3 linked regions of the Diceros bicornis minor genome follow. The protein of the gene in region 2 interacts with the protein of the main gene of each other region in a pairwise test. Links are inferred from orthologs where the notes say so. Each region holds a gene or a part of one and is shown on either strand. Other genes may lie near its edges.

What was found. The genes of interacting proteins can lie anywhere in the genome.
Region 1: the proteins of STAC3 (region 2) and FAM133A interact in binary tests that used the Homo sapiens proteins (3 or more experiments, as listed by UniProt). The two-hybrid records come from large-scale screens. The link is inferred for Diceros bicornis minor from reciprocal best matches to the Homo sapiens genes STAC3 and FAM133A.
Region 3: the proteins of STAC3 (region 2) and L3MBTL2 interact in binary tests that used the Homo sapiens proteins (3 or more experiments, as listed by UniProt). The two-hybrid records come from large-scale screens. The link is inferred for Diceros bicornis minor from reciprocal best matches to the Homo sapiens genes STAC3 and L3MBTL2.

The regions. Positions count from the first base shown.
Region 1 is NC_080781.1:87,221,807-87,225,554, forward strand, and holds the start of FAM133A (protein FAM133A), read left to right. Parts: upstream 1-1,400; 5' UTR 1,401-1,452; intron 1,453-1,769; exon of another isoform or gene 1,770-1,824; intron 1,825-2,223; 5' UTR 2,224-2,293; intron 2,294-3,748. Other genes in the region: NAP1L3 (nucleosome assembly protein 1-like 3), read right to left, coding at 1-879.
Region 2 is NC_080756.1:11,655,930-11,659,677, reverse strand, and holds the start of STAC3 (SH3 and cysteine-rich domain-containing protein 3), read right to left. Parts: upstream 2,565-3,748; 5' UTR 2,469-2,564; coding exon 2,042-2,468; intron 1,801-2,041; coding exon 1,703-1,800; exon of another isoform or gene 1,558-1,702; coding exon of another isoform or gene 1,492-1,557; coding exon 1,419-1,491; intron 524-1,418; coding exon 426-523; intron 1-425. UniProt on the Homo sapiens protein: Required for normal excitation-contraction coupling in skeletal muscle and for normal muscle contraction in response to membrane depolarization. Required for normal Ca(2+) release from the sarcplasmic reticulum, which ultimately leads to muscle contraction.
Region 3 is NC_080764.1:9,162,954-9,166,701, forward strand, and holds the start of L3MBTL2 (lethal(3)malignant brain tumor-like protein 2), read right to left. Parts: upstream 2,482-3,748; 5' UTR 2,400-2,481; coding exon 2,376-2,399; intron 2,030-2,375; coding exon 1,789-2,029; intron 172-1,788; coding exon 38-171; intron 1-37. UniProt on the Homo sapiens protein: Putative Polycomb group (PcG) protein. PcG proteins maintain the transcriptionally repressive state of genes, probably via a modification of chromatin, rendering it heritably changed in its expressibility.

The sequences.
Region 1 (3,748 bases), on a different chromosome or scaffold from region 2:
AAGCTTGTCAACATTCTTTAAAACAGTCAGCCAGTAGTCAGGAATGCCTTTAGGATCTTCTTTTTTAGGCTTTCCCTTACGAGCTCTTTTAAGATTCACTCTTTCTTTAGGCCTGACCTCAGGAACTCTTTTAGAAGCCTCTTTTACTCCAGCCCTTGCCTTAGCCTCTACTGCCTTAGGCTGTCCTTTATCTTCTGCCTTTGCCTGGGGGACTTCTTTAGCATCTTCTTTTACTTCAGGCTTTGCCTCCAGCAAATCTTTAGACTCTGCTTTTTCTTCAGCCTTTGCCTCAGGAATTTCGTTAGGTACCTCATTTTCTTCAGCCTTTACCTCAAGTTTTTCTTTAGGGTCGTCTTCTTCCTCACCTTCTAAGGCAGGCATTTCACTAGGGCTGTCTTCCTGCACCTCCTCATCACTGCTGAACACCTCATCCTCTGAATTCCATTCACATTCTTCTTCTGTAGGTTCATATTCTGCATTGATGATTTGAAATCGCCGATCATATAGAGGCTTATTGAGTTCAGCATATTTTCGTTCGAGATCGTGAATTGCCTTTAAGAACAGAGCGTCTACCTTGTCACATTCATCTTGAATATTTCTGAGCGCCTGCACACGATTTCTAACTGACTGAGGCAGCCGGTCCACGAAATTTTTACCCGACGGAGCCCGCCGCGCCCTTCTGGAAGGCCCAGGTACCCTCTTCTTTCTATATAAGCGGCTGCGGCTACTGCTGCTGCCACTGCTGCTGTAACTAGTGCTTCTGCTCGAGCTACTGCTGTCAGATTCTTCCCCAGAATCGCTAGACGAGCTAGCCAGCATCTCTTCAGCAACCCCCTGGGCGGCAGGTCCCGAGACCATGTTAAGATCCGCTTCTGCCATTTTGCAAGCCAGTAAACCTCTAAAGGTGGTGACTACTGCTGAGACCGCGCGCCCAGAGATGGGCAGAAAATGACTCACGGATGCTTGGGTGGCGGCAGCGGCCCGGGCTGAGAAGGTGGCAGCGGCGAAGGCAGCAGCAGCGTGGGGCGGGACTGGGCTGCGGCGATCGCGCGGAGGTGACAGCGGCAGTGGAAGCCTGCGCGAGAGCGGCGGTGGCAAGGCCTCTCCCGGCTGCCGCCGCGGTGGACAGAGGCGTGCCGCAGCCGAATAGCGCTGTGTGAGACCCCAAGTTCTCTTCACGGTTTAGATCGGCAGCCCCCTCCCCTTGCAGTCAGACCTCCTGTTAGTTTAGTTCCCAGGGTGCCTTTAGCTCGCGCCTCATTTGCTGGGCAAGTTTGATTGACAGTCCCTAAGCCCAATGAATGACCAAACGCACCGCCCGCCTTCCAGGCTCCGCCCATCTTCCCAGACGCTCCTTGGTAGCTGAGGCACACACCCCTGGAAGACGATTTTTCCCCTTTAAATTCTACCTTTATAGTTTTATAATTCAAAAAAAAAAAGCTTAGATATGAGGTAAAAATACTAGCCATAGTTCCTAACAAGGGAAGAGGAGTATCTTTCTCCCATCCGCTCATCCTAAATTCCCGTTTGGTTTATCAGGGGCCTCTTGACAAAAATCTGTTTTTAAAAAATTGGATGAAAGTACTCCAAGTGGCATCATTGGGTAGTGTGATTATGGATGATTTTTTTTAATCTATTTTATCTAAATATTCTATGAGCATGTATTTTTACACTGGAAAAAAGGAGAGTCGTTTATTGGCAAAGGAGGGAGGGGCTAGAAAGCAGGCATGTTGCATTCCACGTAGCAGTTTTAATAAGTGCTGTCTGTGATGTTTGGCAAGCCTGCTTTATATCCATCTACAAGGTTTTCGAGCCCATGTTGCCGTGAGTCAGTTGCACCATTTTTACTATATTTCTCTCTTTAAGCTGGCGTATAATGTACCTCAACCTTGCTGCTGACTTGCCAGTTAGCCCTTCAAACCTTGTAGATAAAATAAAAGGGTATTCAAATGTTAGGTAGTATTGTTTAAAAGCAGAAGGTTTGCTCTATACTTTTGTGCAGCAGTTTTCAATTCCACAAACAGCAGAATGGGAGGGGAATTTGTGCTGATAAACGTGCATCCTCTGTCAATATATACTTCACAATGTCATCTACCACCAATTTCCTTCTAACATTGTAAAATTCTAGCCATATTAAAAGTATGATTTACAAGTCCAGAAATATGTGAATAAACTTTTGCAAAATGAAATTTAAAAACAGGTATCTGTTATTTTTATTTACAGGATTCTTTTCTGCTACAGAACAACTCCCTTGGTACATCCAAAAAGACCAGTGTTTACCTTTCATTAAAAGGTAAGGAACATATTTAGCCCATTTTTATGAATGACAAGAATTACCTACCTGTATTTGAATAAAAATTCACAGAATATAGTCTTTTAAAGACTTAATTGGAAGATATCTTGATATTTCTATGGAAGCAGAAAAATCCACGGAGGTGATTTGACATACTAATGTAGAAAATAGCCTAATTAATCACATTCACTATCTAAACCTGCTCATAGAATACAAGCAGTAAATTAAAATATGAATTATTTTATTTTAAATGAGGAAAATGTTAGATTAACTTTTATGTTACTTTTTTATTGTAGGATTTGTGCTTTGTCGTTTCATCATATATTTTATAAAAAATTAGGAAGCACTAGTCTTCTATTTTGTAAATGGATCTACTTTTATTGTTTATTTCTGATTGTCAAAGTATATAAGCATTTTAAAGAAAAAATACAATATAGAAAATTCCAATGATAGTAAAAATACACAATCTTAACAACCAAACTATAGCCATTGTTAGCATTTTGATGCATTTCCTTCCAGAAATTTCTTTGTACATATACACACCTGCCTATTTATATACACTGTTTTATCTATGTGACATCATATTATGTTTTGTAATCTGCTCATTTAATTTATCAATTAATTGTGGCTATATTTTCATGGTAAATAATCAACATCTTATTTTAAAATAGATACATATTCCATGGAAATATTTGCCTTAATTTATTTAACCAGATTCCTGTTATAGGGCACCTATTTCCCACACTCTCTCTCCACTAACATACATATATTTTCCTGTTATAAGAAAATTAGCCCTGGATATGTACTGTATGCACTTGTGAAAATTACTCACAGGATGAATTCCTAGAAAGGAGAGGGCTGGAATAAATTGTGTGCTCATTTTACTCTTTGATACATATTGCCAAACTTCTCTCCAGAAAAGTTATCACAATTTACAGTCCCATCAACAATGAATGAGTTCATTTATTTAGTCATTCAGCTAATATATTCCTGTGCTTGCCATGTGCCAAGCATATGTGGTAGAGGATAGCAATAGAATGGTGAATAAAACTTACTAGGTGCATATCTTTTCATTTCATAATTTAAATCAAAACATATACTGTGAAAATGATTTAAATCAATAGAGTTATGACATAAATATTGTTCTACAACTTATTTTCATTTAAAATGATGGACATTTTTTTTAATGAATGATCTTACATTTTTATAGCACTTTAATGGTTTCATATACATGTTAAATTTTGTACCATCAGGAATTAGTATTTTGGAGTAAGAAATGAATTAGGGATCCGTATTTTTAAAAAATATATGTTTTTATTAGCAAATAAAATCTAATAAGTAAAAATTATAAAAAATAAAGGTCTGCTCTCTGTTTCTATAGATTAGTTTGTATTTTCTAGGATGTTATATAAATGGAATCATGTAATATACCCCTCTTTTTACTTGTCTTCTTTC
Region 2 (3,748 bases):
CTTGGCCACTAGCTTTGTGCCTCAGTTTCCTTATCTATAGGAAATGGGTCAGACCAGATGATCTTCATGGACCCTTGCATGGCTCTAAAATTCTCTGATTACGTGGCATGGCAAGTTCTCTTTCCCAAATCCAAAAGCATTGCTCTTGTCTCTGGTGCCCAGCAATGCCAGGGGCCTGGGGCCTAGGCTTCAGTTTGTTGGTGGTTAATCTGACAATTTCAGAAGGGAGTTCCTGGAGAAAACACACTATGGCAGGAGTTGTTAACCTGAGGCCCTCTAAAATTGCACACAAAAATGTATCTGTTGGGTTATGTGCAATTTTAGAGGGAGAGGATCCCTAGCTTCTGTCAGCTTTCCAGAGAGGAGGGAGGACCTGCTCCACAGGGTCTCTGGAAGGGACCTCAGTAGGAAGGTATGGTGCTCACATTCTTCTTATCTGCCTGTCCCTTCTTCCGTTCCTTGTTTGCCATGATCACCCCAGTGCGCAGGGTTTCAAACACAGGGTCATTGCGATTGGCAGCAGCTAGCGGGAATGGGAAAAGAAAGAAGACATTACTGCGGAGGCAGAGAAAGGCTTGAAGGAAAGAGAGACCTCCTAAGTAAGGGAGAGGTGGGACTGAGCAGATAGACATGCATGCATGTGCGCATGTTTGTGTAGGATTAGGGAAGGGTCAGCTGGGCTACCTAGGTCATCAATCTATAAAGAGCTCTAAAAATATCCCTGGAAATGTAATGTGATAGAGAAAAATGTTTACCAGCACTCCTTCTAGGCAGAGCATTATATGATGTTGGAAAGACAGCTTTGCTAACATGCTGCTTGGGAGTTGGGGAATCCTCAGAATCACTATTCTCCTTCTAAGGAGAGTGGTCTTTTAACTGCTGGCTTTTGTTCTGCTGAGTGGCATGTGTAAGCGGGGATGCTAACACCGGTGGGTTCTTCTTTTTCCACCCATGCTCCTCACAGAGTTCAGCCTCTCCTCCAAATAAATCTTGAGAAATTGTCAATGAATACTTTTTGAAGGGTTGCCAAATTATGAATCTGCCCAGGATGCTCACAGCTCTTGGTCTGGCTTTGAGTTTGGCATTATTCTGTAACCAGGATGTAGAGAGTCTAAAATCCTTGTTCTTGCTTAGAAATGGTTTCATATATGAAGAGCACAGATTTTGAAGTTAGGCAGATGAAGGTTTCAGTCTTGGCTCTGTCTCTTGTTATCTGTGTGAAGCCCTAGCTAAATCTTATCTCCCTCAGCTATAAAATGGGAATATTGACTGCATCCAAGATGGCTAAAAGTTTAGCTTGAGAGACAATCTTGTGAAATAGGATCTTTCTGTTTCAGAATTTGCTTCCAAATCTAAAGGTGGTGCTGACACGGTCTCTAGGCTTGCCCGTTCCCTCAGGTCCCATAGGGGGCACTTACAGAGATCTTTGACACAAGCGTACTGCTGGTTGCTGTAGAGTGGGGAGCTATAGGCCCGATGGAAACCAGGGGGCTGTAGGAGGGGATGGGAGAAAACATTAGAGATAGCAAGGAAGGGCCCAGAACCCATCTCTCCCATGAGTGCTCACCTCTTCTTAGAGTAAGAGATGGGCTGAGAAAGAAGCAGCAGGGAAATGGACGGGATGACTTGAGGAGGGACTGGCAAGAGGGTAGCTGGCAACACGCCCCTCCCTTCTACTTTCTTGCTCCCAAGGTCTACTCACGATCTTCCCGAAGCACCTCTGCATTTCCACGTAGGACTGACAGTGTTCGTGGATGTTAGTTTTGCAGTTCTTGCAGCGAAGCCCAAATTTGTTGTTGACTTGGGAGAGGGGAGAATGTTTGGGTGAGGTCCCTGAGCTCCCTTCCCTCATGCCACAGCTGCTCCTCGAGCTCTTAGTCCCTTTTCTGTCTGGGAGCCAACATTCTCAGTCTCTAATAGTATTTTCTTAAAGCCAAAATCATGCCAAAGCCTGTCTGTGATACAAATACCCCTCTCCTAAACTCTGTCCCCGCCCCCTGCCTTCGACATCACACTCTCTCCACTTCCCTTCAAGACTCACGCACAATCATCCGGGCACAGACATCACAGAACTTGGGCTTCTTGAAGAAATGATCTTTGAATTTGTGGGGCTTATCATTGACAAGCTTAGGAGGTTCTGGGGGTGGCTCCTCCTCCTCCTCTTCCTCCTCCTCTTCCTCATAGATGTAGTAGATGGGCCCAGCCCCAGCTCCCACTGCCTCCCCATTAGCCTGGGGCTCTGGGGGCAGCTCCATCTCCTTTGTCACTGTGGACTCCTTCCTGAATAACTGCTTCAGCCGCTGTAGCTGAGGGAGGCAGGGAAGGAGGGAAGGAAACCCAATGTTAAAAGAACTGTCATGCTTTCTAGAGGAGGTAAGGTGGAAGCTGACTAGACATTTTTCTAGCCTCGGGCAAGGGGCACAGCCCAGCATTGGGGGGTATTGGGGGCTGCAGGTGCTGGCTAGCATTCTAACAATAAATGAGTCACATACTAGTGAGATCAACTCAAGCGCTTTTCATCAAGGGTTGCCATGGCTTCCCAGCTCCCCACAGCTGGTGGTCAGAGGCCCAGACTCACCCCACTTTGCCGAGTCTCTGCTGGGAAGGGGGGCTTAGGGGACTCCAGCACCTCCTTCTCTGTCATCCTGCAAGAGGTCAGACCCCACTATGAAATGTCACCTCTGCCTGCCATTCTTCCCTCCCTATTCCTGTCCCTCACAGTAGGGTGGTCCTTGAAGAGGAGGCTTCAGGGGAAATTTGGTTAAACAGGGATCCTTTCACAGGCTTATGAACAGAAAGTTTCCACGGAAGTCCAGAGAAAAGCCCAACAGACTCAAGAACTTCCCAACCAGTTCCTCAAACTGATACCCATCCTTCCACCCTGAGGGACAACCCGAGTTTACAGCCCCAACACAGTGCTCAAGTCTGTACGGTTTAGGGCATTTCCTACAGGTACTTTGTGTGCAGTAGAGACATGACATACACCTTCCCAGATCCCCTTTCTTCAGCAAGTTTAATGTGTGTGTCCATAGCATGCATGATGGGATGGGCTGGGGACATTTGTTCTCCCCTCTTTCTTGAGCCCCAGGGGCCCAGTGCTTAGTTCCCAGCCTGCCTCAGCCCTCAGCTATTTTAAGTTTTCAGAGTAATATGAGCCTTTCCTTCCCTTACTACTCCATTACCTTGACCCCACCCCCACCCCACCTTCCAATCCTAACTCTTGTTCTGGAGTAGAATAATAAATTTCACTCCTAAAACCCAAACTACTCACAGAGGAGGAGAGAAATAAGCTGAACAGACTACGGATTGGGGAAGCTGGGGTAAGCAGTCCTGGAAATGGGAAGAGGATGACAAGGCAACTTACGTTTGGGATTCCCTAGTCAGTCCAGAGTCTGTGGAGGGAGGAGGGAGCACCTGGGGTCTTGATGGTGGTGCTGGGGGAGGACTGGTCTTCTTCCTTGGGGGCTAAGCCCCCCCACTACCCTGTGTACTCACACCAGCTACCCAGACGGTATTTGTAGACCTCTTAGCCTCTCGCCTTGGTGTCAGAGCTGAAATGACAGGGCTGGAGCAAAGTGGACAGCTGAGTGACACAGCTGACACAGAGAAATTGGACACGGGGTGGCCTGGGCAGGGCTGGACCCTAAGTCCTCCCATCCCCCAGAGCTGCTGTTCCCTGGTTTTTCATCCACAGTGTGTAGGTCAGTAACGGCTAAATTCAGGAAGGGACGGTGTTCATGCTGCATCC
Region 3 (3,748 bases), on a different chromosome or scaffold from region 2:
GGCCCTGGGAAGGGTCTTCCAAATACCTGCCTCTCACCTGTAATCTAGCCAAGATACTGGCTTTCTTGGAGTTGGAGGAGTAGCTCCTGGAACAGGAGACACTGCAGAATCTCTTGGTCTTGGAGAAGAAGGCTTCCCTTGTACCCACGATACCACACATCTCACAGACAGCTGGGAAGAGAACTTAGCACATGACTCACCTGATGCGGTTACCCCAAATCAAACAAAACGATGGGCCCTTCAAAAGCTGGGGCACTGCATTTACCGGGTTAAGTCTCAGTCCCCCTAAGGCTGGCAGAACTGGAAGAGAAGGAAGTTCTGGGGTGTCCATCTGAACCTATTTCACCCAAGATAAGCTGCTTGGCATCCCTTGGCTACACGTGTCAACAGTGGCGCTAAGGAAAATCCATGAGGATGACAGAGGAAACAGGTGAGGAAAGTTTGCGAAGAGAAAACTGAGAAGGAAAAAAGTGCTCACATCACTTAACTTCTGTGGGTCCATTTTCTTCTCTTCTATAAAGAGACTGAACTAAATCAATGTTTCAACCTTGACATCGTATTAGAATCACTTGAGGAGCTTTTAAAACTGCCCAAGCCTGAGATTCTAATTAGCTGGTCTGTGGTGGGACCCAGGCATTTCCAGTTTGTTAGAAGCTCCCCAAGCGATTCTTTTTTGTGTGTGTGTGTGTGTGAGGCAGATCAGCCCTGAGCTAACATCCATGCCAATTCTCCTCTTTTTGCTGAGGAAGACGGGCCCTGAGCTAACATCTATTGCCAATCCTCCTCTTTTTTTTTTTGCTTTTTTTCCTCCCCAAAGCCCCAGTAGATAGTTGTATGTCATAGTTGCACATCCTTCTAGTTGCTGTATGTGGGACGCCGCCTCAGCATGGCCCAACAAGCGGTGCGTCGGTGCACGGCCAGGATCCGAACCCCGGCCGCCAGTAGCAGAGCACGCACGCTTAACGGCTAAGCCACGGGGCCCGCCCCCTCCCCCCAGGTGATTCTAATGCACAGCCAGGCTAAAGAACCCCTGCACTAGATGGTCTCTAATGGTTCCTTCTAGTTCTAAAGTTCTAAGATTCTAAAAGAATGGTTGAAGAAGATAGAGGGGAGAAAGATAAAAGAAAGGAGAGAGGAAGGGAAGACATGACAAATAGAAAGGAAATAAGATTCAACTGGCAAGAGTATTCTCTTCTGAAAAGTTCAGGTACCAAGCAACAGGAGTGTTATTACAAATTGTCTAGCCGGCCTCTTTTCACAGGCAGTCCACACGCTGGAGGCACTGACAGTGGGGTCCAGCAGCTGTCCAAGATCACAACTCTGAAGCCAAGTGGCTTCCAGATGATCCATGGGGATTCTTATCTGCTCACCTCCACCCTACTCCTCTTACTTGGAGGTCACTTTATTCTATATTTCCCTCCCCCTCACTCCCACCCCGCAAGCTATTTCTTGTCCCTACCCAGATAGTAACCAGAACAAGTGTTCTACCTTCTCAACCTCCAGGCTTAGAAATCCACTAGCTATTCACACAAATGTACAAGCAGCACCATGTTAATGACTGGCATGTAATGTGTGCTAAATAAATACTAGTTGTATGAACGAAATCAGACTACTGCAGAAGAAATGACCCTTGGGGCTACTTGGGATGCTCTGTCTCTCTCACAGGCCCTTAGACATCAGATCAAACAGCCCTTTACACCTGGAGGGCTCTGCCCACATGGCTCTATCCCCCTCTTCCTCCATAGCCTCCTGAAACCTCCCCATCTTCAGGGGGCACTCTGAAGGCACCTGGCTCAGAACCACTGCCATCCAAGGAGCGGGGAGTCCCAGGGCTGAGCAAATGCAGCGGGGAAGTGGGCAGCTCCCCTGCTTCCCGATCCTCATTTTCTGCTTCACTTGACTCCTCTAGGTAGGAGCTGCTCTCACTGCCCGCACTGCTGTTATAACTCCGGAAACTGTCATAGCCACCAAAGAGCTCCAAGTCGTCATCTTCCTCTTCTTCCTCCATTGGTTCTGAAGACGGAGTCTCCTGGTGGAAGGAAACAGGCAGAAGGAATCATGGTTGGTTTAGTGTATGGGGAGGGAGGTGGCAGATCTACCAGCTCCCGTTCCAGTTCTTGGTGAAGTCAACACTCTTGGGCAAAGTGGCAGGCAGAATCAAATACCCCTTTTGCAAACACCAGGATCATTACTCTTGTTTATACATTTCTCAACAGGCAACAGCGACCGCCTCTGGCCCGGGTCAAGCCTAACTACCTCCGTCTATCCATCTTTCCACACTCCGCCCTCCAGCCTTCACTAAAAGGCCTAAAGGGTCCACGAGTGAGGCTCTCGGGGTTCCCCTTCTCAGTCACGATAAGTCCTTCCCCCCTCACCTCGACTCCCCGGGGCTTCTCCATGAGACCCAAGACAGGGTCTTTAACCGTCACCAGGCGCAGGAAGCCATATTGGCCTCGCCGCTCTCGCGAGCGCACTCATTGGCCGTCTCCCAGAGCCGCGGACCAATCACGCTTCAGGAAAGAGGGAAAGCTGGTTCCGCGCTCGCTCGCGCCCCTCCTCCCCGGGGGCGGGAAAGCCGCGGACGCTTGTGGGACTTGTAGTTCCCGGGTGCGTGCGCGTGGAGCGGGGCGTTGCTACAGCGACGTGAAAATCCCGAGCTCGGGCCTTCCAGCGGCTGTTGCGGACAGTTTTCCTACCTCTACGTCAGCGTCTTCCCTTCACCCCTACCCCATCCTTCATTAAACAATTATTGAGCACCTACGGTAGTCAGGTACTGTTCCAGGCTGCAGGGATAACCTCGCATTCTCCCTGATTAGAAATTTCAGGTGCCGTTGGGCCGGAATGCCTAGCAGAGAGACTCATTTCCAATTCAGGCCGACTGGAATACTCTTATGCCCAATGCTGTAGATGTCCTGCATGCTCAAAATCCTGCAACACTCGCCCTCCGTCACCATCTTCTAAATAAAACCTGGACTATGAGGCTCGCCACCTCGTCGCGTTTGGATTTCCCACAACCTTCTTACACGCTGGGAGCTCTAGGCATTCTTGTGGAGCTTTACAAACATCTCAAATCCGCAGACATCCAATCATCGTTTTAAAGATGAGGCAACAGTGGCTGTTAGGGTTTAGACACTTTCCAAGATCACATAGGACTGGAATTTAAGATTTAGTCCAAGTTCTTTGCCTATGCTATGCTGTGCTCCAATTAATTAAGAAATTAAATGTAATAAGTGGAGGCTGAATATATGTTAAATATATTTCTAAATTTGAGGTTCACCACATAGATGTGAAAATCTTCCTTAATTTTTTTCTTTCCTTCAATCCCTTCTATCCCCAACCCCAATATCCACATTATGGACAAGTACTGTTGGTTCTTCTACCTCCAAAATATATCCTGTACAGGCCGGCCCGTGGCTTAGTGGTTAAGTGCTCACACTCCGATGCTGGCGGCCCGGTTCGGATCCCCAGCGCGCACCGACGCACCGCTTCTCCAGCCATGTGAGGCCGCATCCCACATACAGCAACTAGAAGGATGTGCAGCTATGACATACAACTATCTACTGGGGCTTTGGGGGGGAGGCGACAAAATATATCCTGTATGCCTCCACCACTACCACCCTAATACAAGCCACTGGTCCACTGCAACAGCCCTCCATCTGGTCTCCCTGTTTGAATCACCCCCTTCTTTAATCCACACAGGTGATCTTTTAAAATCATAAACCAGCTCATATTCATTTTCTTGCTTAAA